Linked DNA regions of Arabidopsis thaliana. The protein of the gene in region 2 interacts with the protein of the main gene of each other region in a pairwise test. Each region holds a gene or a part of one and is shown on either strand. Other genes may lie near its edges. The genes, in order: AT2G23060, NAC032, AGL102 and ZF3.

Region 1 (6,392 bases), on a different chromosome or scaffold from region 2:
TCTAAAAGTATTTTTAACAGAAAATAAGTAAATAAATTCAAAACAAACCGGAAACCATACTTTTTAATCTTGTAATTTGAAATATATTATGACAAAAAGAAATTGAACCTACAAAAAATATATAGTTTTTATCTAACACGACATAATAAGTTCATGATAGACTATGTTTCGGGAAGACTATCTCTTTATCTCGTAGAAGAAGAAGGTCCTAAAGACTCTAGGTAAAATAGAGTGTTCGAGCTAAACTAAGTTCGGTGAAAGTTAACTCGAATCACTAAAACGGATTTGTATTTATTTTTTTTAAGACATCTTGATTGATAACACAATTTGCTGGAATAGAACTTTGATGTAAAAACCCGAAAATATGAACCGTTTAATACTTGACTAAAGTCACTTTCCTCAAACTTTTTAATTTCTGTTTCTGTTTTTTCTTTTTACTTTGAAATCGTGAAAGGATCAAGAATACGTATAAGTCTACAAATATAGTTCTTTTGCGAAACCTAATTCGAAGACTCAATCTCAACACTAGCAACTCTAAAGAAGTTATAAGTTTCTTGAACAAAAACTAAGAAAGGAACACTAAATTTCTAGCATACACGAATGTGACGGTGGAGAACATTATAAGGTAAGATGGGAAGATATATCTGAAACTACGCACCGTTATATTTGCCTTAGATTAGTGCCTTTCTTCGTCTCTCTTTTTAGTTTATTCTGAATCCTATGACGTAAGCGCTTTTGTCATGTACATCATTGACTATAGATGACACATCATATTCAAATTGAGATGGTTGTATTTTACAAAGGAAAAATCTACATTTTGATCTGAATTATTAGTTTAGTGTCAATTTTTATAAATAACTTAATACTACTCACCTCATCAAAGAATAATTCCAAATGGAAATAACTAAGAAAATATTTGGTACAACTATATAATAACAAAAGTTCACGACAATCCTGTGTTTATGAAAACCCCATTTTTCCATTTGAATGCCTCTCAAGTCTTGCTTGGTTCGACATTTTGCGTTTTTGAGTAATATAAATATATCTTTATGTTAGATAGAGATGGTCGATATTCAGATATTGTTTTAAATTTCTATACGAAATGGGAATAACGATCATATATTCACAGTAACTAATATGTGATGGATATTAGGATATACGTAAATTGGTAGTATCTTATTATTTTGAAAGGGTGGGAATCTACGATTAGACAATCCTGTGGGAGAAAAAAAATGCTTGATCCCATGAATAGACAGATTAAATATAATCGAATCCAAATTATTTATGTCTATAAGCATCTAGATGATATACACATCAATTGACTAATTAAGGCGACATACTTATTTTGAAATTTGACGGAATAATTAGGTTCTTTAGTAACACACTTGCTAATTTTATTGAACTTTTAGAAGAGTTTGATTAAAAAGTCTTAAGATTGTTATGGAAACAAATGGGGGCCATGCCAATTGCCAAACGCACTTTCATACGATATATTCATTTATTCGATTTTGTTTTGCTAATAATTCTCGATTACAATTCCATCATTCTGATCCGATTTCATTAGGTGAATATTACCAAGCGATTTTTAAAAAATGATTAATTGTGTGATTGGAGTAGCCTAACTTTATAAAAGGGGAATTTTTCAACTAGTTAATGAGTCGAACATATCAATTGTTTTATATTGCCAACTATAATGTTGTCGTGATACATATCCTTTATTCAAGTCATGAAGTTTTTCTTGTCCCTTTCTTTTTTATGTAACCTTTCCTGTCCGTTTCAAAACATGAAAATTCAAGGAGACGCAAATTCGAGTATATTATATATACATGGTCATGTTTTTCTTACTAACGTAAGAAAAAGTAAAAGATATTAATACACAAATAAATCAATGATACTATTTTGTTTCTACTACTTTTAACCACTTTTAAGATTGATGATAAGAGTAAGACTAGTGTCTAGTGATATACGATTACATTTTACTGCAACGATTTACATATATGTAGTGTTTAATAAGCAGCCAATGACTCGTTTTACAAATTATTGTTGTTAGTTAAATGTTTAATTATTTTTTGTCAACACAAAAATGTTAACTTTCGTATAATGATAAGTAGTATAAATACAAAACGATTCTGTTTCATATTTCTTCTTTTGGGGGTTGAGTTTTTGCATCTCCTTTCGTATTCATATATGTATTTTATTAACATAACGGCTCATTTATGATGCCGTGTCAATAACTAGGCCTATCAATAACAATGACTTAGAGCAAATGATTAGAGGTAAGGTAAGAGTAACAATTATACATACGTTCATGCAAAAACGGATAATTATGAACAAATAAAATTAACAAAGAGAAAATGAAAAGAGAGTGAGAGAAACCATAAGCCGCCATTTCCACTTCTCACTCACACTTTCCACGTCTCTTTTCTGAGCAAGTTCCATATCAATGCTCGTCTTAATCACCCATTAATATTCTCACTTCATAGCATCGACAAATAATTATTTTTCTATTTCATTTAAAATTATTCTAATTCCATATTGAGTTGTTCTCTGATATCTTTGTATAAAATTCCTAACTAAACAATTGTTTAAAGAACAAAAATAATCATTTTATTAAACGGGGAAAATAAGTAAGAATAATTAACTCAGCCCTCCACTATTAGATTATTGTATTGATACTACTAATCTGATCATTCCAAATTCTTTTTTCCTCTGTGCATGATCTCATGAAATCAATTCCCTCTAGATTCGTTCATTTGTTTACTGAAAAATTCACTATATAAAATAAAACAGTATATTCCAAAAAATGAACATTGCGAAAAATGAGCATAATTAATAGGGAATTAATATTGGGTCCTATTAACTCTCTCCAATGATAGAACTATTTAATTTGTTATTCATAACTAAAATGGCAGCCGAAAATAATACCAAGAGTCATTTTCAAAACCTTTTAAAAATCTTATTATTTGTATTTTTAAAAAATCTTAGCTCGTATAGCTTAAACATTAGATTCACATCATAGCTTCTGTGTTCTTTGCTTATACCTCACGTTATATTTATATTAAAAAAAAAATCCTATGTCCTCGGAAAATCTGCTGACTTCTTATTGCAACAGTCTCACTTCTTTTCCTCTATATAAAACCCTAAGCTACTACTTCACACTTTATTCTCATTTCTCCATATCTCTCTCTCTCTCTCTTTCGCTCTCTCAATCTCCTCTGTTTTTAGTTATTAGAGGAATTAGAAAACAGAGAATATGACGGTGCTTGTGGAGGTTAGAGAATACGACCCAAGTAAAGACTTAGCCACTGTAGAAGATGTTGAACGGCGGTGCGAAGTTGGCCCAGCCGGAAAACTTTCTCTCTTCACCGATCTCTTAGGTGACCCTATTTGCCGTGTCCGACATTCACCTTCTTACCTCATGCTGGTAAATTACTCATAACACCTAAATCTTAAAATATATAAAAAAATACAGTTTTCTAAATTTAAGTTGTTAACCAAAATATATTTTATCACTAATTAGTGAGAAATCTTATTTCTTTTCATAATGACGAAGCAAATATACGAATTATTAACTTACAAAAAAAAGATTGTGTTTGTTTATCAAAATAAAAAATGGTTTGTTTTGTTTTGTTTTATAGTTAATTAATTAAAAAATGATAAGTGAAACGACATTCACCTTCTTGCCTCATGCTGGTTACAACTCAAACCGAAGATATTAAAAACCCGTTTCTTTATATAAAGAGCAATTACATGAACTAACTAACCCAAAAGCTTTATTATTATTATTATTATTATTATTATTATTAATATTTTATTGTTATTATTATTGTTAACTATTAAATAAAAAGAAGGTTTTAACTTAAAATTGGAATTTGTAATAGGTGGCTGAGATTGGTCCGAAAGAGAAGAAAGAGTTAGTTGGAATGATTCGGGGATGTATCAAAACCGTTACATGTGGTATCACCACCAAAAGACTTGATTTAACTCATAACAAATCCCAAAACGATGTCGTTATTACCAAACCACTTTACACTAAACTCGCTTACATTTTGGGTCTCCGCGTTTCTCCTACACACCGGTACGTTTTAATTAAATCTCACGCATTTAACGCTAAACCAATCACGAGTAATTAACGCTTAAACTAATCACGTTTTTTTTTAATTAATTACTTCAGGAGACAAGGGATAGGGTTTAAGCTCGTGAAGGCTATGGAAGATTGGTTTAGTCAAAACGGGGCTGAATATTCCTATTTTGCAACTGAAAACGACAATCACGCTTCCGTCAATCTTTTCACCGGAAAATGTGGTTACGCCGAGTTTCGTACACCGTCTATTTTGGTTAACCCGGTTTACGCACACCGGGTCAACATTTCTCGTCGGGTTACCGTAATTAAGCTTGAACCGTCTGATGCTGAGTTACTATACCGGCTTCGGTTTAGCACAACCGAGTTTTTCCCTCGCGACATTGACTCTGTTTTGAATAACAAACTCTCGTTAGGAACATTCGTCGCGGTTCCACGTGGCAGTTGTTACGGATCCGGGTCTAGGTCATGGCCCGGTTCGGCTAAGTTCTTGGAGTATCCACCGGACTCGTGGGCGGTTTTAAGCGTGTGGAATTGTAAAGACTCGTTTAGATTAGAAGTTCGCGGCGCGTCGAGATTGAGGCGCGTGGTTTCAAAAGCGACGCGCATGGTTGATAAAACTCTACCGTTTTTGAAAATACCGTCGATCCCGGCGGTTTTCCGGCCGTTTGGGCTGCATTTTATGTACGGAATCGGCGGAGAAGGACCACGCGCGGAGAAAATGGTGAAGGCATTGTGTGACCATGCACATAATTTGGCAAAGGAAGGAGGATGCGGCGTGGTGGCGGCAGAAGTCGCCGGCGAAGAGCCGCTCCGGCGAGGGATACCGCATTGGAAAGTGCTATCGTGCGCTGAGGATTTGTGGTGTATTAAACGGCTTGGAGAAGATTATAGTGATGGTTCTGTTGGTGATTGGACTAAATCGCCACCTGGCGATTCTATTTTTGTTGACCCTAGAGAATTTTAGTTTTATAACTCAAAATGACATAATTAATTTATATTTAAGGAAAGGAATATTATTCAACTTTCTCTATCAGATTTTTTTTATTTTTCTTATTTCCAAATTTTTCCATTATTGTTTGACTACAAGTTTGTGATTTTATTTCCCAAATTAGTGAAATTACCATCATCAACGAGACAAATGAATGCAAAATTTGCTCTGATTTTTATTCTCATTTAAAATTCGAGATGAGAAAGGCTTCAAGCCGAACACAAAGCCCATTAAAACTTGGCCCAATTACAAAGGTCAAGCACCAAATGTTTTCTAATTTAGGAAAATGAAAACTACCAGTAAAACTCAAAGATGGTGTTGAAGAAACAAAATAAGAAAGATTCAATCAAAACTCTTTCTCATGGTCCCATTCATCATCCTCAGTGTTTAGAGTAGTAGTGGTAAGCTCAGGAGTGCTATATCCTGTTGATGAACCATTGGCTCTAATCTGTTCAAAGAAGAGAACTTGCACAATCACCCGCATTGGCAAACGTTCGTTCTGTACCGCATGTTCACACGCTTCCGCGGATAGTTTCCTACAATCCATTAGCCCGCATACTCTCTTCTTCTCGCTCTTGCTAATCCCCGAATGTTCCTGAAAATTTTCCAAATTATTAACAAATCAAGAAACGTTATGAAAAACAGAGGATTTGAATCTTGTTTTACCTTTAGAAACATGTCAATTGCGCGATATAACACGTCGTGAGAGTGTCTTGGGAAGCTAGAGAGTGTCTCAGCGAGAGAGAGGAAGTTCTGAAGAGGGAGATTAGGATCTCTTGATTTCTCAGCTAAGTATCCATCAATGAGCTTTGCCACGGATACTTTCGAGTGAGTTTTCGGATCACGGTTCATAAACTCCTTCACTAGGCTCTGCACCATATCCAAATCATACATTAAGATATCATTCACTGTTGTCTCTTCAAGCTGCTCGCTGACTCTTTTCTTTAACTTTTCTTTCACGGTTTCTTCACATCCAAGAAAGATCGATGCTCGATGTAGCTTGGTCAAGAAGCTAGAGGAAATGTTTCCTTTCTCATCCGGGAGAAGCTCTATGATTGTATTAATCAAAGATCTATCAATGAGTTGCATGGACTCTTTGCTAAAACCAGCTATTCTTCTTATTGCATAAGCATGTAATGCTTCTCCAATAACGTTACTCGGGACTTTACCTCGGTTCTTGATTGCTTTGATGGCTTGTTTATACAAATCGATGTGAAGCTCGCATAAATCTTCCACCCACCAGTCTTTTGGAACACCATCTTCTGGTTTTCTCACTTTCTCAAGCTTCTTCTTCCTGTTGTAAGTATAAGACCATTTGAC
Region 2 (6,318 bases):
GGGAAGAAAGAGACATGAAGCCTGAAACTTTCGCTAGTCTTGTATCGGCTATTCTTTATGAGAAAAGGTTGGTGAAATGTCTTCTTCTCTCAATTTGTTATTAGTTTCTAGTTTCCTCTTAACAATCTGATTTCTTATGATTAATGTGGCATTGCCACTACTAAGTACCAAATTCTTTATTTCAGATTTGGCCCATTCTTGTGCCAACCTGTGATTGCTGGATTGGGAGATGATAACAAACCCTTCATTTGCACTATGGATTCTATTGGAGCCAAGTATGCTCGCTTTCTTCATTACTTAAGACGTTATATCTCATTTTTCGTCTGTAATGCCATTTAATTTACTTAGTCAGTGACTGTAATCGTGAAACTTGCTAGGTCAGCTAGAAAATGATCGTGGATTGATATTTTGGTTTTAGTTGGAATCTAATTTTGGTCTTTTGTCATCCAATGCAGTGTATGCATGTCATATGAGTGAACTTATTTTACATGTGTTGAGCTGATTTAAATATGATTCTTAATATAGTTGAGATTTTACCGAACATGATAGTTGCAATGGTGAGCATGCCTTGACGCTTGTTCTCTCTAAATGCAGGGAGTTAGCTAAAGATTTTGTTGTCTCGGGAACTGCTTCAGAATCTCTATATGGTGCCTGTGAAGCCATGTTCAAACCAGATATGGTATGTGCCTTCTGAAAACTTGTTTTTGTACCGATTCACTGGATACTCAAATGTGTGTTTATCACCTGAAAATTTGGTAGGATCATTCATATGTAAGTATTCTATTGTAGAATCTTGATCTGGTAGGAATATTTGTGTGCATAGTGCTGGTGATATATGACGTAACTCCAATAATTTTCTCTGTATATTTTAATTTGGCTTAGGATTAAGATGTTTCAATATTGCGATTACTTCCCTGCCATAGTACTGCTTCGATAAAGTTTGAATTTCAAGGTCATCATTCTAAGAAGTGCATTGTAAACAGACTCGTGATGAAATGAAAAGCATATAACTAGACTTAACAAATTTGAGTTTCAGGAAGCTGAGGAACTATTCGAGACAATTTCACAAGCACTTCTCTCTTCAGTTGACCGCGATTGTCTTAGTGGGTGGGGAGGACATGTCTACGTTGTGTAAGTTTTGTTCTCCTCATCTTCTTCTTCTTCTTCTTCTTCTTTTTTTCTGTCACATCTGGCTTCTTACAGAATATACCTCATGTGCACTTATCTTCTAAGGATATGTATTATATAAGATAGTAACATTCTTTCATGGTCATGTTGTCCAGAACACCAAAGGAGGTGAAGGAGAGAATCCTGAAGGGAAGGATGGATTGATCTGATATCACATATCTGCTTTTGTCCAAGTTCGGTATACTCCTTAACCCGGTTATGTAGAAGCTCTCGTCCCATAGTAACTATGTTCCTTCTCTGAAACTGGATATTGTGGTTCGTTCTCTCGGATGTTTTATTTGCTATTGATAGAGTTCAATGAAAATGAAGAAATAGCAGTTGTTATCTTGTTCCAGTACTCGATCATTCTATGTACCTTGTTGTTTCTGTTTTAATTTCGTACCAAGTGTTCCAGATTTCTGGTTTGTCGCAGTCTTTAGTTTTCAAGGTTGGTACTGATCAGTGACACGTTTTGTTGTTTGTCTTCTTAGTGTTCATGTTCGATTCACTATGGGTGACTTTAGAAAGACGTTAACATGTCAACGAAATATTTTGGTCAACTATCAATAAACATGGTTTGGCTAACGAAATCATACAATAACTATGAAATCAATGTAATTTGGAAGGTGATCACTAGTAACTGCAAATAGAAACGAATCAAACTATTATGATGATGATCCTGATGCTGCCATCTGACATTGTGAATGATTTTGCATGTCCTGTTCTGTTTGTGGCGTTAGATCGAGCCAGAGAGGCAAAATCCATACGCATAAGCGTTTTGATGATTTCATATAAAACGTGGCATGTGCAATAGATGTGGTCGTTACACGAATATAAACCCAATCCTGCCGACCTAACTAATCTCGGTGGGTATTCATATACTACCTGTGTGGGCAAAGCATATAAAGGTTCTACTTGGGCAATCATTATCGATGCTCGTAAATTCATGCGTCTAATCATTTTGATTATGAACCATCCACATCATGTCACGTGTCTAAACTCTTCGGTCACTTTTGAGCTTTTTATCAAATTCAACCCGCCACAATAAAAAGCGGCAGAACTAACATTCCGGCTCCACGTGGCATAGATCGAAGCGTTTATCTATTAGGTGGCACAGGCGGCTCGAGATGACGTTCTTGTGGACTCCATTAGAGAAAATGACAGAATTAAGTGGGCATTAGCATAAGTTGATAACTATGAGGTGCTTTTTAAAAAGAAAACTAACAGCTGCGATTCTGTTTTTTTTTGCCGTTAGTGTACGCTAAATCATAGACCTCTTCGTGGTTATAAAGAAAGAAACTTAATTTGTCTCGAATTTGAGTTTGGATGCGACGTTTTACGTACTAGTTTTATAAAAGTAAATGTTATAGACCTTGAATTTCAAAGTGGAATGTATTTTACACACACAATTGATACACCAACAATTGTGGAAGCAAGGATATAGAGTATCGATCTTTAATGGAGAAGAATATATCCTTAAAGTAATCATTACTTTTTAATTACGGCGGAAAGAGAATAGTTAAATTTACGGCGAAAAGAATGTTCATTAATCAATTGATGACGTTCGTTTATAATTTCAAATAAGATCGAAAATAACAGGTGAACAAAGAAAAAATAGACATTAAAAATAGTAAGATCGAAAATACAACCCTTAAAAATCTCACGAAATCAATGAGAGAAACAATTTTGAGATACGGTCAACGTTTGGTCTCCTTTAGGAAAGTACACGCATAAGATCGAACGTGTCGATTCTTATTGCTCGTTCCCAAAATCGACATGCTCTCGGACCGCTACATTCCAAATAGTCTGACGTAAGCAATGACAAAACTCACCTACATTACAGTCTGCCACGTGTCCCTCTCCATCTACTTCAAATGAATCCTCCACTATACAGATTTAACCATTTTTCTATTTTTGTTTGAGATTCCTTTCCACCAACACAAAGCCCCTGTCTATCCGCCATGTGTCCACGACCTTTCTTATATATATAGTCATCTTTCTTCTTTGCTCGAGAGAAGTTTCAACTTTCAAACATATCTTTACAGTTCTTTCTTGCTAAACAACAATAAAGGGGAAAATAGGTTAATTATGATGAAATCTGGGGCTGATTTGCAATTTCCACCAGGATTTAGATTTCATCCTACGGATGAGGAGCTAGTCCTCATGTATCTCTGTCGTAAATGCGCGTCGCAGCCGATCCCTGCTCCGATTATCACCGAACTCGATTTGTACCGATATGATCCTTGGGACCTTCCCGGTACGTTTCTTTCTTTTCCCCTTTAAATCACACTATACACTAACAGTAACAGGATTCTATAAAATCGGTCTAAGAATTAATAAACCGGTTTACAATTTACAGACATGGCTTTGTACGGTGAAAAGGAGTGGTATTTTTTCTCACCAAGAGATCGAAAGTATCCAAACGGTTCAAGACCCAACCGTGCAGCTGGTACTGGATATTGGAAAGCTACCGGAGCTGATAAACCAATAGGTCGTCCTAAACCGGTTGGTATTAAGAAGGCTCTAGTGTTTTACTCGGGAAAACCTCCAAATGGAGAGAAAACCAATTGGATTATGCACGAATACCGGCTCGCTGACGTTGACCGGTCGGTTCGTAAGAAAAACAGTCTAAGAGTGAGTGAATTTATCAGTTCAAACCGAACTTTGAATATGATTTTGAATCGGTTTAGTTAACCGGACGTGTTTTTGATATTCTTGAACAGTTGGACGATTGGGTATTGTGTCGTATATATAACAAGAAAGGTGTCATCGAGAAGCGACGAAGCGATATCGAGGACGGGTTAAAGCCTGTGACTGACACGTGTCCACCGGAATCTGTGGCGAGATTGATCTCCGGCTCGGAGCAAGCGGTGTCACCGGAATTCACGTGTAGCAACGGTCGGTTGAGTAATGCCCTTGATTTTCCGTTTAATTACGTAGATGCCATCGCCGATAACGAGATTGTGTCACGGCTATTGGGCGGGAATCAGATGTGGTCGACGACGCTTGATCCACTTGTGGTTAGGCAGGGAACTTTCTGAGTTGTCACGTGCGATTAGAGTTAGTGGAAAGTGGAAACTATCACTGTCTGTTTTCGCACGTGTCGGGTAGCCGTCTTGAAACCCGCTAGCTGATCCAGAAGTGACCTCATTGGGCTTTTCAACAACAATTGGGCCTTAGCCTTTCTTCTCCCTTAGTAAGACAAGCTACTGTATTGTGTTGTTATTTTCAGGAAGCAATATAAATTCATTTTAATCACTTATATATTCTTTACATTTTTTTTTCACTCAAAACTACAATCTAGCTTCTTCTTTTTTTTTTTTTTTTTTTGTTATGGTTGTACTACAATCTAGCTTTGTTATATATATATATAAGTTAAAAATAGTAACTAAATTACAAACTAAAATAAAATAAAGAAATTGGAAGATATCACTAGTGTTTGGGGTATTAGGGAGGGAGGGGAGCTCGAGATCCGATTTTACTGACTGCATGGTATCGAAAAAGTGTCGGTAATGGTAGGGTCTGACAGATAACAGTCTTATCGTTGCAACTTGCATTCAAACAAATCTCATTGTTCGCTTTAATTTCTAATTAATTTGTTTTTGTCTTTTGTATATTTATTTGATTTTGACACGAGTTTGTCTTTCCTAATAAGACCGAGGCATGATTAGTTTAACCGGTTTGAATTGTTTAGGTTAAATCGGAGTCCAAGTCAAATACATCGCTATCTAACGAAAACGACGACTGAAATTTCGTAAAGTTCCTTACTATAAAACTGATCTAACTATCTTCTACAAGAACAATATAATAAATTTGATGCATTATGAATTCACAAGTTTTAAATCTTTATGATTTTGTAGCTCATGAAATTGAATGATGTTTCTTTTATTATCACATGTCATTAAATAAAAATAGTTATGAGTAGATGACATAAATACTATTTCAAATAAATTTATCCTCCATCTAATTGTTATGAGATGATTATTTCCTATAACATGGTATCTACTATATGGCCGTCTAAATTAAGTATCAACGTTTAAACTGCGCAATGCTCAAGTTTTCATAAGATGTGATTTGTTAGAGGTTAATTAAGAAACTTGCGAGTGTATATGTGGTCTCTAATCTATATTTTAATCTATAAAAAGGGAAGTGAAAATCAAGATTAAAAGCTTGGATGTCATAGTATAAAAGAATAGTAAAGTAAGGGGACCAGACATATTTGTTGCGAACTGGAAAAAAATGAAGACAGTCAATCTCACTGGGGAAGTGTGGGGTTTGAAGTCCATGTTAGGTCTGTTTGTTGTTGCTCTTACAACCTTCACTTTCAATTTACAACCAAATCTTCTTTACACTTTATACTAATTTATTATTCATGTTTCCAATAGCATTAAAACAGTTTTAAAATCTATCCAACTCTTTTTTTCCCCTACTAAATCAGGAAATTCAAATCATATGGACAATATACTCCATCAAACAGTGTAAATCTGTTATCCACAATGCATAATGTTGTGTTTAATTAACTCGCATTCGTCACAACCAAATTAGTGATTTCTCTCTAATTAACCAATGTATGTAGATGTGAATAATACTTATGTAATAGTCCAGTTTTCAACAAACATATCATAGTTTAACGAAATTGGACAGATTCGAGATCACAACTCGGTTAAGATAAAACTGTGAATAGAATATTTTTCTGCCTAGGTTATAACTTAAAACTATAATATTTTTGGGAGCATGTATTATGTGACTTGTGCGAGAATTCTGTGTATATATGGTTGACAAGATGGATGCTATTTTTGTAAATAGCTAGATGGCTACATACATATTCACTCATGTTTTATAACGTAGAGAATAATTAGTCCACCGCTCTATGCCCCATTTGGAATAAGGTTAATTGTTACAACATATATTTTGGTTAAATGGTTCCGAGTTAATAGACCAAATCATATAGTAGTAGTTTGGAAACAAGACATGGTCAAAACGCAAGATAATACATAGACACATAATTTCAGTTTAAAAGTTCTTAAAACTTTAAAGAACAAAACTTAGATGTAGTTTTAAATGTTAATTTACCTGGTTTTGGCATAACACAACCTAGGAGTTAGGAATGTTCCAACTTCCAATACTTTTACATTTATCAAAACATGCGTT
Region 3 (5,128 bases), about 12 Mb from region 2:
CATTTCGAATGTTTCGCATCGATCAGTCCTGATTTCGTTAACCATATGAATTGTTCAACGAAATAGTATAATCCTTCACCACCGTACGCGATTATGAGTAAGACGAGCTCGTGATTTGAATCCCATCGTGAGGATCTTAATGCGTTGATGTCTTGTACGAATTTTCCGAGACGGAAGGCTTTGCGACTGACTCCGACGCTTGATTCGAAGCTTTTGAGTCGGGGGATTATGGATCTGGTTTCTGGGATTAGTGATGATGCGAGGATGATTTTTGTTGCGTAACGAGAGATTTTCAGGAGTTTGTCTACACCATCTCTTTTGGAGAGATATGTTTCGAGATGATTTAGGAAATCTCTGTCTTTTGGTTTGGTGATTTTCTCTGGAGCTTTCGTAGCCATTGGAGGAGATGGAGCTTTTTCAATTGTTGTTCTTCACGGACGCGAAGATGAAGAAGAAGGAGAATTGAAGATAACCGGAATCGAGTTTGATTAATTGGTTTGCGTGCCATTCCCGAATTGTCCGGTTTAATTAATGCGGCCGTGGAAAATGTATAAAATTGGTTTGATCTATTTTTCGCAAACAGCTTGAGAAGAAAGTTGGACTTTATTGATCTAGATACGAAAAAGGTCAATACATTGGCTGCATAGGGACCTTATTATTATATCTTCCTTTGACCTACTAGGGTCGACTCAAAAATGAAGGTGGACTGATCGGTCCCAAGTATATATAGACCTATCGGTCTCTGATTGTCTGGATCAGTTTCCACACCAGTTTCATCTGATTGACATGTCTTAAGTAGATTGGCCATAACGTCTTATTTCACTGTTAGATTTTCTTCAAATCACTTGGAAATAAAAGCAAAGATCATCACCTAGCTTGTATCACAATATGAGGAAGATATAACGGTGGAAAATCTTCCACATGACGCGAAACTCCAAACCCTTATACATGATCTCACATCTCCAAATGCGTGTTTGCATCCCAAAATGTTTTTTCCTCCATATCAATCTAAAACCTGTAAAGGATTAAAGAAAATCTTGAAACGCACTTTAACTCAATAAAAGACATGTTATCGGCTACATGTAAGGTTGTCATAATGCTCATGTTGTTCATCTCCAAAACGAGTTTGATAATGCATGATTTCGGTTAGACTATTCCCTTTACAATGCATGAATTTTCGATGATTTTTGAAGCCTTAGTCCATTGGTCTCGGATCGCCATGTCATTTGTCGTAGATTGCTAACTGATGTTGCCGGTAAAGTATTTTTGAATATATCCTCTAACGTTTCGTTGTCGAGTTGATTAATGTAGATATTTTTCATGGGTCTTCGGCTGAAAAACAGCTCAGTACGGAAAGTTGGTGCTCCAGCTAAAATTCCATGGAGTTAAATAGGGTCTCTAGATTTGCACTGAACTTGTTTTAGGGTTTTCGATTGCATGGTCGAATCACAGATCCATCCAACACCTCTGGTGTATCGGGTGAGGAATCTTCTAGTTGGATGTGGGTCCATCCAACACATCTTGTGCATCACATGAGGAATCTTCTAATTCGATATCCACATCAATTTATTTGACCTTTTGTAACACCCTGGTTTCACAAAATATGGTGGTGCATGCAGAGAAGTTTTAAAAATTTGATTTGACCACCTATATCATCAAATTGCACTTATTTTCAGTCAAACATCTGAAAAGAACTTCATAATTAAGCGTGCTTAAGTTAGAAAAATTACAGGGAATGACCTTCCAAGAAGTGATTGTCGCAACTGTATATGAGCGAGGATAAAACACGAGAAAATATAATGTGGTGATATGTAGGATCGGTAAACAAGCCTTTAAAGCCTCGTAAACGTAATGGATCGGCTATCGGGTAAGAGTGAGCCCGTGAGCCGAGAGAGGACGTGGGGTCACTAAGAAAGATGGAGGTCGGGGAGTTACAAACGGTATCAGAGCCAAACCCAGACGAATGTGGAGTTAAGAGGGTTAACAAAGTCGATTGTGACGGTCTTGATGCGCAACCAGGACGATACGATCTGCTAGAGGGATGAATTGTAACACTTTAGTTTCATGAAATATGGTGATGCATGTAGAAATGTTTAAAAGAATTGATTTTGACACCTATGTCTTTTGATGGGTGAATTTAGGAGAAGTGATTATTGTCGGATCCGTGTGAGTGAAAACAAAACATGAAATAATAAAATAAAAAACTCCTTTTAATTTAGAAAAAGTTGTTACCAAGTTTCATCAGTTTTTTATTTTCATTTTATTGATATGTCGTGGCTAGTGCGCATGTTTGACGCGTGTGAGTTTGCATTTTAAAATAAAATTTGTATATATGGAATGATATGTAGAGATACTAAATCTAATTTATAATTATTACAAAATTTGTATTTTTCCTAAATATTTTCTAATGAAAGATAAGCATTACAAAATTTATACTTTCTTCAGAAAATATATCTTAAGAATTTGTTTGGAATACCAACTCTTGACTATTATGATAAATTTGTGTAGTCAGAGTTATAAAGATATTTATGGTAGTAGTTAAAAGATAAATATATTTAAAAGGTAAATTCAAATATTTTAATAAAAAAAGGATAACAAAGATAAAAAATTATAATTAATGCGTTAAACCTACTTGAACCAATCCATCTATAAAATGGAGTAGAGTAGTAACAAAAACAACACCAACAACAAAAACATCTCTCTAAAACTAAGAAATGGGTCGTAGAAAAATAGAGATAAAATTTATTGAAGATAGCATCGAAAGGAAAGCGACGTTTTCAAGACGCCGAAATGGCATTTTTAAGAAGGCTGATGAACTCGCGAAGTTGTGTAATGTAGAGATTGCTGTCTTGGTCATCTCCCCCACTAATATACCATACACATACGGTTATCCATGCTTCAACGATGTGGTTGAGCGTATTCAAAATCCTAGTGCTTCGTCCAAACTCAGGAGTCTCATGAAAGAATTGGAACAAATCAAAGAGTTTCAGGAGGTATGTTTCCCATCATTAATATAATCTCATCCGTTAGTTTTCCTTCTTCTTCGTTCTCAACATATAGATTACAAAGATGGGTTTGCTATTATACACAGAATTAAATAATCATTATTTATTTTATATTATATAATATTTTTTTTGTCAATTTTAGGATTTGAGGAAGAAACAGCAAAGAAACCTTGAAAAGTCCAATATGAAAGAGAATGTAGATCTGAAATTGGAGGACTTAGTTGCTTTCAAGGCGAAACTCGAGGCCTATCAAGCAGGTTTAAAGAGGAAACATGTAGAGATGGAGGATTTGTCTTCTCCATCGATACTCTCAAAGAATACAAAGAATAAGATGATGAGGACCGAGTATTCGTCTGGACAGAGCAAAGGAATGTATGAGTTTCGGGCTTTCGGCCCAGGATTTCTTGGAACTATTTAGAACAATCGTCAAAATAAATATAAATATATAATTATTTATATCATATAAATCAATTACCGTTTATTTTTCTTTCCAAAAGTTTAAGGAATAAATTTTGGTTGCTTTAGTTTGAAGGAAGTTGTGTCCTCCATCTTGTTATCTTTTCAATCGGATTTTCGTAATGAAATGTTTTTTATATATAAATAATATACAATATATGTGATAATTTTGGAAAATATGTCAAAAAAATGTGAACTTTCAAATTTAGAACAAAAAAACATGAATTTTCGAAATGTCACTTAAATACCAAAGTTATTGTTGACTTTAGAATTAAATAGATAACTTTCGTTGATTTTGCCATTTCGGGTAAAACGTTACGTCAACTGACGAAAAAAATAACAGAATTAAGTCTTTTTTTTGTCATAAGATATTATTTAAGACTTAAACGAGCCAAAATTACGGGAAATTAACAGAATTAAGTCTTCGGTTATAAATTCTGTTAACTTATAAAACAACGTCGTTTCAATTTCTTTTTTTTTTTACAAGTTGAGGAATTGAACCCGCAACCTGTGAGATATAACAACTTTCCTTTACCGACTTAGCTCGCAGTTATTTATATGTTCTCAGAAACATACATATTTCTATAGGTTATAACAAAATGCCCAAATTAATAAAAATTTAGGGTTTCGATCCCCTTTTTCACAGTCTTCCCAATTTTAAAAGTTCTTTCCAAGAGGGAAGTCGATTGATGACGTATCCTCCGAAAATGATGAGTAAATCTAGAGAAAGCTTGATCAGAAGATGAGAAGATGGTGGATTCTTTAAAATCGTCGAGGTTTAGATCTTGATTCGCGATCTTTAGAGTGAGCCCCATAGAGATGTAGCCCGAATCGGAAGTTGATGCCATTGATGCGTTTATCGAGCTTTTGTTTAACCTATATAATTATCTATGTTAAGCAGTATGATGTTTTTAAACTAAGAACTTACTTCTAAGAAGCAAGAGAGAGGAGAGACTTTAGAATTTAGAGTGTTTTGTCTTTGAGAGCTTGAGAAATAATGAGAGGCTGGGTCTCTTTATATAGTAGAGGAAAATAGGATTTTGTGAGAATATTCTCAGGATATGCATGACATATTTTGAGACTATCCTAAGAATATTTTGAGACTATTCTGAGAATATTTCCATAAGATTCAACTCAGCAAGCCCAATAACTCACAAGCATGACGGTCCGCAAGCCCGACAGCCCTTGAGTCGACGATGGGACGTCCCGACAACCCGCAGCCCGGCTCATCCTAGTTCGGTTCGGTTCGATCAGGTTTGGCCCAAGTGTCCCACTTTACACCCTTATTTCTTATTCAATACAACTCCGTTTTTGACGTATGAGTATACCATTTTGTAGTACTCTTTACCCGCTTTCCAATGCACTAATGTCCCGATAATTCCGTTCAGCCGTTTGGTCGAAATTTGGCGGAAAAGTCACCGGAAAGGTTTTGTCAAAAAAGTTCCAACAGGTATATGCGTAATCTTGGTGCAATTCACTTATAGGGCCCAAAAAGATAAATAAAAGTCTTTAGAAAGATAAGGATCGAGTTACTACTACTAAATGATTGATGTTGAATTTGTGAAATGCTGTAGGGAATTGGCAAGGGAGGAAGATGACACGTGATAGAATCAAAGTAAGGGATGAGAACTTATAAGAAAAAAAAATCATAATTAAACTTGCAAAAA
Region 4 (4,908 bases), on a different chromosome or scaffold from region 2:
CTGCTTAGGCTTTGACCATCTCTCCAAGCAGTCTTAGGCTCGGTAACCAAATTGCTTTCCGAGCTTAACTTTTGCTTCTTCCTTGGTTTCAACAGATCCTGCTTTGCATTACCGTTATGGGTTAATATTCGACAAATGTAAACATAGGAAACTTAACATTTTTTACTTAAACTTACTTGTCTTGAGTCGACATTTCGGTTCGTTTGGTGGTTGGAACCATCAAGAACGGCCGCATAGTTACTTTGCAGAATTGTACCAAATGGGAAGAAATCATCAGAAGAGAAAACATCAGTCTCATTTGGAGCATTGCAAAAGCTCGATTCGTTAGATGAACATTGATCAAAGTTGAACATCCCCAAAAGAGACTCCAATTCACCATCTACAAAAGCTTCATTCTCCATTTTTCTTTTCTTATGCGTTCGCCTTTACATTTATATATAGCAACGTTCAAGCTTATATTAGAGACATGAGGAGAATAACTTTGAGAAGGAATATAAATATTTGATGGCTGATTATAAAATCAGGGTTTTAAAATCTCATTGTATCTTGAACAAGTCTTAATGTTCTTAACCTACCATGCTCAACTACGATTAGTCAACTTGTGGGGTCGGTAAAAGCCAAGTTTAGACAGAGTCAAAGAGGTTATGCCACTCCATTGCATGACGAGTACATTAATGTTAGTATATTCTATATATATATAGAAGGATTCATGTTTTTCAATGAATGTTAAACATTTTAATGTACACACAATCACAAATAGAGTAAAGAAAGAATATATGGGGCGCCCCCAATGCACGTTATGTACAAAAATGTCCTGTGACAATGAACTTGTTTTGTTAGTTTTCTAACGTTTGGGAAAATAAATAGTCAATGAAATACTATAATCCAGATGTGAATAATTTCTCTTTTTCCGCAAAACATGGATGATCTTACGTTGGGGTTCGGAGTGTCGATCCATCCAATAAGAAAAAAATTCACGATTCGCTTAAACTAATTAAACTGTAGACATGTAGATATTATCGTTAATGTCCGAGTGTCGGATCACATAGCGAGTCCAAAAAAAGTGAATTCACAACCCAACATTTTTACTAACTAATTTTTTAAAAAAATATTCTAACTACAAATCGAATCTAATTAACCCAATAAGAATTGAATACGTAATTAAAGATGATGATAAACAATATAGACGAGCTACTTTTTAGTCTAAACAACAATTTACTCGTGACTAGAATATGTATCTGCATGCTAATGTGGTCGTTGTCTAATTAGCTTGATTCAAATTCCTATAATACATATTGTTAAAAGATAATGAACAAAGTAATAGTAGAAGACCAAAGGACGGCACGGAATAATTTGAGATTCCGACAAGATCAGATTCACACTCGTTTGCTTGTCTTAAGATCACCCTTACAGAGACAGATAAAATTTAATAAGTCAAAAGTCATTGTCCATAATAAAAACAAAGAAACACAGCTCGGAAATGTATTCTTGTCTCTAAGTTTGAGTTAAGGTACAATGCATTAATCTCACCGATTAGCTATTCATTGGTTGTTAGATCTATTTTTTCAACATCCCGTTACTAGATTAATTATAAAGTTTTTTCTTTCTAAAGATTACACACAAGTTTATACTAGATGTTGTTAAGCTATTGATGATTCAACCATGCATAATCTGTTACCGACGATTCTCCCATTGCAACATAACCCAAAAGGTCCCCCTTCCGCTTGTGAAAGGAAAAACTAAAGGTTTAGAGATATATGCACACATTATATTCGTGAAAGCACATGCATGACCCATATGTTTTTCAAGAGTTTACGAAGGTCATCGTTGCTCAGGCCACCAAACTTTGCTGGTATATCTGCTTCGGTAGCTTGTCTTAAACTCGTTAGTTGCAGCAAGCCTAAGAATCATTACACTTCATTAGGCTTTTCGTTTTTAGGCATCTAACATGATGTGTCTTTTAGATCTCGTAATGTGAGAAAAGAGAGAGAGATAGGTTACTCTTAGAGAATTAGGTTAATTAATTGTTGGAAATTATTTTTTAGTTAGCATAAAGACCTAATTATATAAGTAATTATACAATCTATATTATAACGTAAATAGCTAGTAAAAATGATACAACTTAGATTCTAACCTAAACGTGAAAAAAGCACCCATAATCCTAACTTTAAAAGAAAAGTCCCAAAACCTTATACTAAAGAGAAGACCATTAAACCAAAACTCTTATACCGTATCATGACACAAGTTGTTGAATCCAATTTAGTGTAACTTCAACTCTAGACATTCACGCATTTGAATTAAAACCAATAAAGAAAATTTCATGATTCTTGGTTGCAATGGGCTGTGGGAATTAAGTTATAAGCTCTTTGTTTCTTGTTGTCATGAGTTCTCTACCGAAACATCCAATCATCTTTTATATTCAAGGTTTCCTCATTATAATCTTAATCTACACACATTGCCTCCGTTTTCAAATGTTTGGACCAAGTAATGAATGCTATTGGGTTTGTTCAGAAATTCCCAAAGGTACAACAAACCTACACTTAAATAAATAACTACATATATAAGCAAAGTGTTAAAACATAAATGAAAAGCTAGATGAATATTAATTGTAAAATACGGCCTAAGTTTAGAGACAAGGTTTTTATTAGTTTTAAAGAATCAATCATTATTGTGTGTAGTTGGATTCAAATGTCAACTCTCAACTAGTCAGAAGAAGAGTATATAGCCCGACTTGTGTAACATTTCTCTCCCCCACAAAACGTGCCAAAATTAATATATTCCACTCTCACCAAATGTTGAAATAATATTTTAATTATACATTCACTTTCGTTACAACTTACAACAAACAACTTGCTCAGCACATATTTCGTTTCAACTAAATACTTAAAATAATTAGAATGGCCAATTTGGCCACCCACTCTCACTCTTCTTTCTCACGCAACTTCCTCTCTTCTCAAGATTCTTCTCCATACTTCACCTTCTTCTATATATCTCTCTGCTCTCAAATTAGGTTTTAAATTTTCTATAGCAATGGCGCTTGAAGCTCTTAATTCACCAAGATTGGTCGAGGATCCCTTAAGATTCAATGGCGTTGAGCAGTGGACCAAATGTAAGAAACGATCCAAACGTTCGAGATCTGATCTTCATCATAACCACCGTCTCACTGAGGAAGAGTATCTAGCTTTCTGTCTCATGCTTCTTGCTCGGGATGGCGGCGATCTTGACTCTGTGACGGTTGCGGAGAAGCCGAGTTATAAGTGTGGCGTTTGTTACAAGACGTTTTCGTCTTACCAAGCTCTCGGCGGTCATAAAGCGAGCCACCGGAGCTTATACGGTGGTGGAGAGAATGATAAATCGACACCATCCACCGCCGTGAAATCTCACGTTTGTTCGGTTTGCGGGAAATCTTTCGCCACCGGTCAAGCTCTCGGCGGCCACAAGCGGTGCCACTACGATGGTGGCGTTTCGAACTCGGAAGGTGTGGGGTCTACTAGCCACGTCAGCAGTAGTAGCCACCGTGGATTTGACCTTAATATTATACCGGTGCAGGGATTTTCGCCGGACGACGAAGTGATGAGTCCGATGGCGACTAAGAAGCCTCGCCTGAAGTAAGTCTTTGTTGAAGACCTGGAAGTTTATCAAATGTAAATATCAAATTTCAATTTCAAGGAACAGTTTTGTTGATTCTATTACCAATACACAATACGATTCAATTCCTTTGTTTCTGAAGTAACAGCATACTAAATTCATTAGAAAACCGAATCGAAAATATTTACAACTGACTTTTGTTTGGTTGTTAAACTATCAAGTGAATTTGGCCTCTCTATTTGAATTAGATGATCTCCTTACATTCTCATAACTCCAAAATTGCCGATAATGAGTAGCTTTCTTACTTACACTCTGTTTTGTTAACTTTGCCACCTTACTATTGTAGCTGTGTAACCTGTGTCCTCAAACTGCATTCTGTTACCTGCATAGTTTAGAGATTAATCCCCAACACTGTAGGTATAGTGCAGACAAATCTATAATGAATTTGAGATATTGTACCTGCAGAGCTGAGATTGTGTTTAGAAGGTCCCGGCACACGTCGAGCATCCCTTCGTCCTTGGCATTCACACGGCCAAGTTCTGCTGCCAAGCTACTTATTTTCCCAACCTGGGATATTGGCTTTCACTTTGAAGATACAATATGAATAAAACGCAATAGAAGATTGTGCCATAAACATTATCCGAGAGAAAAGAAGAGTCACCTTTGGCAGCAACAAGCATATGGAAGATGCCATTGCTTGCATAACATCAACTGCTGAACAAATGGCATCCTTAACACTTTGTACATTTACCTGCGATAACATGATCATCAGCAAGGATCACATGCTTTCCCAACACATAACTAAAAAATAATTTGAGTAGAATAGCCAAACCATTGCCCCGCAATCAACAGGTAGACAAAGGGTGCTGCCTTTCAAAGCTTCAGCAGCTCCTACCAAAGAACCCATATAATTCCGATCAATAACCAACCACTCTTCTAGATGTCCCATCTATACATAGGCATGAAAAACATTTAAGTTTCTGGCTAAGTAAAATTCAATTAGATGAAGCTTTTAGGAGGTCCCAATGCTGTAATAAGCAGAGCATACAAAGGAACCGAAATAGAGATATAAAAGAAAGAACAGAAAAGGGAAGAACAGAAGACTGAGAGTAACTTATATAGTGTTACTAAAAGAGCACAGGGGCTAAAGGCAGTTCAATAAATAACAAAAGCGGATTAACTTACCTGCATATTGAGGATAGATATCAGTTTCAAATTCTGCTTCAGGTGCTGCATTTCAATTCTTTTCATGCTGACAGAATTATACAGATTAGAGATACTTCTCCATGCATTGTACAGTCTTCTCTGCAATGAAAAATA

Evidence for each region.
Region 1: the proteins of NAC032 (region 2) and AT2G23060 interact in a two-hybrid assay, tested with the Arabidopsis thaliana proteins (one large-scale study listed by BioGRID).
Region 3: the proteins of NAC032 (region 2) and AGL102 interact in a two-hybrid assay, tested with the Arabidopsis thaliana proteins (one large-scale study listed by BioGRID).
Region 4: the proteins of NAC032 (region 2) and ZF3 interact in a two-hybrid assay, tested with the Arabidopsis thaliana proteins (one large-scale study listed by BioGRID).

Annotation. Positions count from the first base shown.
Region 1 is NC_003071.7:9,811,495-9,817,886, reverse strand, and holds AT2G23060 (Acyl-CoA N-acyltransferases (NAT) superfamily protein), read left to right. Parts: upstream 1-3,148; 5' UTR 3,149-3,253; coding exon 3,254-3,424; intron 3,425-3,881; coding exon 3,882-4,078; exon of another isoform or gene 4,079-4,174; coding exon 4,175-5,048; 3' UTR 5,049-5,105; downstream 5,106-6,392. Other genes in the region: NPY4 (Phototropic-responsive NPH3 family protein), read right to left, coding at 5,419-5,667, 5,739-6,392.
Region 2 is NC_003070.9:29,096,774-29,103,091, forward strand, and holds NAC032 (NAC domain containing protein 32), read left to right. Parts: upstream 1-3,065; 5' UTR 3,066-3,255; coding exon 3,256-3,424; intron 3,425-3,526; coding exon 3,527-3,801; intron 3,802-3,890; coding exon 3,891-4,208; 3' UTR 4,209-4,986; downstream 4,987-6,318. Other genes in the region: PBC2 (20S proteasome beta subunit C2), read left to right, coding at 1-67, 186-275, 595-679, 1,037-1,131, 1,284-1,332. UniProt on the Arabidopsis thaliana protein: Transcriptional activator that positively regulates age-dependent senescence, dark-induced leaf senescence and stress-induced senescence.
Region 3 is NC_003070.9:17,569,737-17,574,864, forward strand, and holds AGL102 (AGAMOUS-like 102), read left to right. Parts: upstream 1-2,677; 5' UTR 2,678-2,714; coding exon 2,715-2,993; intron 2,994-3,147; coding exon 3,148-3,423; 3' UTR 3,424-3,637; downstream 3,638-5,128. Other genes in the region: PEX11A (peroxin 11A), read right to left, coding at 1-398.
Region 4 is NC_003076.8:17,329,754-17,334,661, reverse strand, and holds ZF3 (zinc-finger protein 3), read left to right. Parts: upstream 1-3,015; 5' UTR 3,016-3,030; coding exon 3,031-3,612; 3' UTR 3,613-3,717; downstream 3,718-4,908. Other genes in the region: AT5G43175 (basic helix-loop-helix (bHLH) DNA-binding superfamily protein), read right to left, coding at 1-98, 177-401; QWRF9 (QWRF motif protein (DUF566)), read right to left, coding at 3,926-3,970, 4,048-4,155, 4,250-4,339, 4,421-4,537, 4,774-4,893. UniProt on the Arabidopsis thaliana protein: Transcriptional repressor probably involved in abiotic stress responses. Binds DNA in a sequence-specific manner and can repress the transactivation activity of other transcription factors.